2 linked regions of the Drosophila melanogaster genome follow. The protein of the gene in region 2 interacts with the protein of the main gene of each other region in a pairwise test. Each region holds a gene or a part of one and is shown on either strand. Other genes may lie near its edges. The genes, in order: Lcp65Ag3 and CG16978.

Region 1 (3,231 bases), on a different chromosome or scaffold from region 2:
GATTTCAATGCAATCTGAATAGCTATAGCCTGAAAGTAAGCTTAAGAGTCTTTTATGATTAAACTATGCACTTTAAATCCGCAAAGCCGACTATGCATTTGGGAGAACTTTTTGTTTTTATTTTATTAAGGCATACTGGAAATTTTCGTTTGATTTTGTTAAGATAAGTTAAAAATAGGAAAAATATATTCTTTTTTAATATTATTATAAGGGCCCAAAAACTTTTTCTTTTTTAATAATGTTCATGTAATAAGAACACCTAATAAAGCCTGAAGACGACTGGGTATGTTAGCGGTTAGAGTAATAAAATACATAATAAAAAATTGTATTTTCAGTTCTAAAATGTTTTTTTTTTTAATTAATAATTTTCTAAATGAAAAAAATACCTATTCTTTCAAAATACTTATTTACACTTCTTAAGAATTGCTTAATGGAAAAAAACCTTTAATTAGGTCCGTTGTTTGCCATAAGAATCTAGTTCTATTTATCTGAACAACTTAACAAAATATTTTCAAATAATCGCCTTTAAAAAAAAACGACGTTTCCGACCTTTTGAGCGAAAAGCACATTTAAAATAAAACGAATTCATATAAAATCTACATTTTTTAATATTCAACAAACTGCGTTCTGTAACTTAGGATTCTTTCCCTTTTAAAAGGGAAAACCGAAAGTAGGTAAGTGTTGGGGAAGATAACAAAGAGTGTTGCAGAATTGGTGGGTTTAAAGCTGCTTACAGTGAAAGCAACTTCACTTATGCCACGGGGGCAACGGGCAGATGAGCACCCTCGGGCTGGAATCCGTTCTTATCGGCGATGTAGTTGACTTGGTAGGTCTGGCCATCATCAGCAATGAAGCGGTAGGATCCACTCACAGAGATAGCCTCGTTCTCAGTTCCAATGTCGTTCAGCTGACCTACAGCTTGAGCAGCCTGTCCATCGGAGGTTTCCCAGCTAAGAAGGAAGTCAGTGTCAGCTAGGTATCCTTTTGGGTCATTTCTCATAGGCAACTTACTCGTATTTGAAGCTTTCGGGTCCAACGTCGGATTCAGAGCGCACGATTGTGGGTTCCTCAGCGGCAGGAGCAGCCAGAGCCACGGCGAAGAGGGCGACGAAGACAATCAGGAATTTCATGGTGATTGTTGTTTGGTGCTTAGATCTGCGGCTATCGAACAGTTCAAGTCGAATGGTAACTATGGACGGCCGCGTAAACCCTTTTATAGATGGCACCCTCTTGGCGATTATTCAAAGCGCGGCCGAACTAGTCAAACGTGTACAAGACATAATGAGCAAAATCAATGTTAATGTGAAATGTCTGGTTTGGATTTCATTTTCGTTTGAAGTAGGAGCATTAAAAGGCCTAATATAAAATTTTAATAACACTATAGTCCAAAAAGAATCGCGTTCATAAATATTTCATTATTCAAATTTTTAACAATTCATTGAGCTTTATTATATTTATAATAATCCAGCCAGTCTTAGTGACGTCAATAAAACTCGGGAGCTTCCTCAAATATATACATTTTTTCTATTTACTTTTCTAATTCTACGAATCTTTTACATTGGATAAATAAAGTCAACTTATTTATTCGCATCCGGAATCATTATACATCCAGGTATCTCCTAGGCTACTAGCCTGAACTTGGGATGGTAGCCAGTTTCGTCGGCCGTGAAACTAATCTCGTATTTTTTGCCATCTGGAGCTGACCAGCTGGTCGATCCCTGGACAGACAAGGAACCATCCTCTTCGCCGGCTCCAGGTTTCACCTCACCGGTCTCAGTGCGTGAGATTCCGTTGCTCGTCTCATAGCTGGAATTCGATGTTAATTGTTTTTAATAAATTAATTATTGATTGAAATTGTATATAGGAACATCGAATAATTAAACACCTGTTACAACTAAGCATTTCAAAGCTACCCTCTTTAATTTTGCCCTTGCAGAGGCTTATACCTCTGATATCAGTCAGAAGTTTGCAACGCAGTGAGGGAGACATGTGCAACTAAATAAAGTTTATATATGTGTACATATTTATATACATCAGTTTCAATAGTCAAGCCGTTTCTACGCAAAATAGTAATAGTATCTCAGTTTAAGGTTAAAAAATTTTACAATTAAATGCATTATGTCCAAATCATTTCTGGGCAATACCTACGCAAAGGAATATTTATCGCCCGTGTTTTCGCTCTCCAGTTTGATGGTCTCCGCCTGGGCATCCTCACCAGCGGGAAAGGCCAAACAGATACCAATTGCCAGGAAGGCTACCAGCCACATGAAATTCGATTGCATTGCGGAAAGAATTAGTTTTTCAGAGTCTCCGTCACAGCTAGCTGCACTTTACTGAGCTGCGATGCGATCATCTGATGCCCTTTTATACGAAATCTCTGGATTATGTCCTCATCGGCGAAAAATGCAAAATAATAAAACAAATTAAAAATAAAGAAATCAGCTATAATGCAAACATTCAATAAAACACATTTTAATTACAGATTAACACTCTAAGTACCCTGCACTAATCGTGCATGCAGGTATATCCAACAGATGGTAATGTATGCAATTACCTTGTCGACAGTCAATTGATAGACAGAATGACGCCTTACCTTGCCATCACCTTTGAATTCTCAAATCTTATTGGTTAATTAAGCTAATCGTGAACATGTTTGTTTGAAACAAACAGATAGAACGGTGAAAATTTGTATAAAAAACAGTACACGATCACCATTTGCTATATACATATAAACTCAGGTTTAAACGATGTCTTCTAGTCGAGATGCATAAAGTTCTGTATTCGAACTTTTTATTATTGTGCATTGTGATTTTGCCATTGTCATTTCTCATATTATCATCTAATGTTTGAATAAGTAAAGCCTCAGCAAATGCTTTGTGTACACTACTATTGGTATATACATTAATTATTAATAGAAAATATCAATCAGCAATCCAACAAGCATGGAATATTCTACATATCAGAGTATTCTATATCAAATATCAGAGTATTTTACAAACATTTAATCGTGCAGCGGTCACGTATACACGCTGTGACCAGTTTCTATTCTTCGAATATCTATAATCAGTCGGTTCTTTTTCGACTACGACCTTCCCCATATGTTAATCAAAAGCTAATTGTATTCAAAACTTAATTTCGACTTCTTCTGAAAAATAAAATAATTATGAATTTTATGAAAACAAACACACATAAGTTCAGGTAATTAAATTCCTTTAATATTTAACAAGTGGT
Region 2 (2,810 bases):
TATCGTCATCAGAACTGTGAACACTATCGCTCCAGTCCAAGTTGCCACCTGAAGATCGTGTTCTTCCTCCTTCGCCACCGAGGTTTATATTCTGAAATATACCCGATGCACCGATCGCGGTATAGATTAATCCAAACAGCACCAGCAGTCGGAGAATGGATTGCATTTTTCTTTCGATTAGCTCTGGCTACAGTTGACTGAATGTCAGTCGGCTCTTGAGCTGGGCTTTTATAGCCTTGCCCTGGGTTATCAGCAGTTCTAAGTGGTTGGTTTAAAGGTGATATGTATACTTTTAGACAGAGGTGAGTGCGGGAAATTCCAGCTTAACAGCAACACAGCTTACCACAAGCTTAATTGATATACTAAACGAGCTATTAAATTCAATCTATGACTAGTATTTAATGCGTACTTAAAATCGAAATTGCGGAGTAGGCAACATTCATTATCAAAAAATGAAGATCTCTTGATTCTCTCTTGATTGATTTCATTTTAAAATTTCTAAAAACTTTCTTTTATTTCCCTTAATAATTATTATTGAAGAACTAGATTATTTACAGACAATAGGATAGCATGACTTAGCATTACAGCACTACTAAATAATTCCATATTAAGTAGCCGGTTCGGTGGTAATATCCATAAAATCCAAAGTCGTCTCATCGTCATCAAGACTTGGATAGTCAGTTGAGTTCTCATGAGCTGCATCGTTCTCCTGCCAGCGTCTGATCAGCTCGTCCATTGCATTCATGAACTCTTCGGCACTGTTGTATCCACTGCCAGATTCCTCCAAAGCATCATTGGTACCTTCCGGATCTTCAATAAGGTCGTGCGGATGGCCGGCAATTAGAGCAGCACAAATGATTCCGAATAGGAGAAGCAATGATATGATGCGGCTCATCATGCTGATCAATGCACCGCCGGCAACTGCATAGCCAGATGCAATTTCTTTCGTTTTTATATGGATCGTGTCGGTCAGTAATAAGTTCAATGGAATTCTGGAAAATCCAGTCTGGGCTAAGCCCAAGTGGCAAGCTGCTTCGATTTCCTCATTCATATTTATGCGTTGGGCGGTACTAGAGTCCCCTCTGAATCATCGCAGACCCAGCAAGAGCAAGCATTGCGCATACGACACGTTGCCACTTGCGGATCAACAGTCATGCAAATAAGTCTATGATTAATTCCAAATAATTGCTATGTCTGTTGAGAAAATTCTCGGCCATGCCAATCATCTGTCAGTTACTAGAGTTGTGTTAGTTAGCTGGGTAGTCAGAAAATGTACTCTAAATAAGGGATTATAAACTTAGCAAAGCGACTGTATTTCATCTTTCCTTGTAGGCCGATGTGAGTGCTGCCGGCAACCCTTAAATGACTTGGCTGCCAGCATCGAGCACTTTACTCCGCTTCGTTGCCTCAATCCTTCGTTGGCTCCTCCGGCACTTTATTCAATTTTCCAAAGCGCGCGCACTCAGCTGCCAGTACAACCTCACTTTGCCACCCCAAAAGACGGGAGCCCATCCACGAAAACCTGTGGTAAAAACATGCAATCTACTCACGAGGCTAATGCCCTTTTATGGCATTGGAGTGTGCCGCATCAGCAAAACGGTGCTGAATCGTTGCTGCTGTAGCTGCAGCATTCAACCATCTAACCACCATGCGAACAACACCATTAGATGGGCCACCAGACTCGATTCACGGGGGCTGCAGCTCATTATCCTCCGGGGAAGCAGACGCCCGCCCATTCACCGAATTGCTGGTGGACTTGTCTGCAAATATGTCGCTCATTTGCATCGCCATCATTGGAGTCTAAGACTGCGCCATTGAAATCAAAGTAAGCTGTTACACGGATCGTTTTTAGTCATTTCTAAAACGTTTCAGAAAATTCTTTATATAATATAAAAACTCTGCTGGCAACTGAAATAATAACCACAAATATGTTTTTAATTATTTTAATATCCTCAACTTCAATTCTATAATTAATGTATATTTTAAAAAATTTCAAACTTTTTCTGATGCTTTTGTATATTATGTCGACTTGCTAGCAAATGTCAGTCATTTAAAAATCGCCGCATACCAGCGGCGCAACAAATCAAAGTTGGTTTTGAGTTTTGTTTAGTGGTTTTTAAGCCGACATGAATACCCACTTCTAGGTGTATAGAACCTTAGCAAGTGCCATTAAAAAGATACAACTGAAATAGCCCAGGCACTCCGGCATAAAAGTACGACAGTCAGTCAAATTAACATTTCAGTCACACAATGACCTTCACCTAGAAGCCATCAAAGCGTACCCAAACGACGGCCCAGCCCTAGCCCCAAATCCCCTGGCTTCACCGGAGTCCAAAGCCAAAACCAACTTCAACGCAACGCGACCAAATAACATAAAAACCAAAGTCAATCAAAAAAAAGAGGAGGAAAATAAATATTTTTCAGCCAATGTCTAAATACCCTTTTCGAAGCTTCAATGATCAATATCATTGATAATACTGAAGTTGTAAAAATAACTCGATTTTAATTATGACCAAAAATGACATCTAATCGTTTAAATTTTCTTCATATATACCTTAAGCTTGTGGGTATATTTTTCAGTGTTACAAACCTCTTTCAAAAATCGAAGAACCCCCTGGAAAGGTAACCACAAATATATGAAAAACGAGACAAAGTCAAAGCTGGCTTTTGCTCAGTCGGTCGCGTAATTTTGTTTTCGTAGCCACTTGATTAGCACGCTCTGAGCCATGTTTAAACGTGGGCTGTTTAGCCAAACGGCAGCCGATACGCCCGACCTGGTCAAAAGCGTACCGTCCAATAGCAGCGATGGC

Evidence for each region.
Region 1: the proteins of CG16978 (region 2) and Lcp65Ag3 interact in a two-hybrid assay, tested with the Drosophila melanogaster proteins (one large-scale study listed by BioGRID).

Annotation. Positions count from the first base shown.
Region 1 is NT_037436.4:6,129,800-6,133,030, forward strand, and holds Lcp65Ag3 (larval cuticle protein), read right to left. Parts: upstream 1,191-3,231; 5' UTR 1,131-1,190; coding exon 1,012-1,130; exon of another isoform or gene 951-1,011; coding exon 752-950; 3' UTR 587-751; downstream 1-586. Other genes in the region: Cpr65Au (cuticular protein 65Au), read right to left, coding at 1,620-1,806, 2,149-2,282.
Region 2 is NT_033779.5:13,142,700-13,145,509, forward strand, and holds CG16978 (uncharacterized protein), read right to left. Parts: upstream 924-2,810; 5' UTR 899-923; coding exon 608-898; 3' UTR 515-607; downstream 1-514. Other genes in the region: CG9928 (uncharacterized protein), read right to left, coding at 1-166.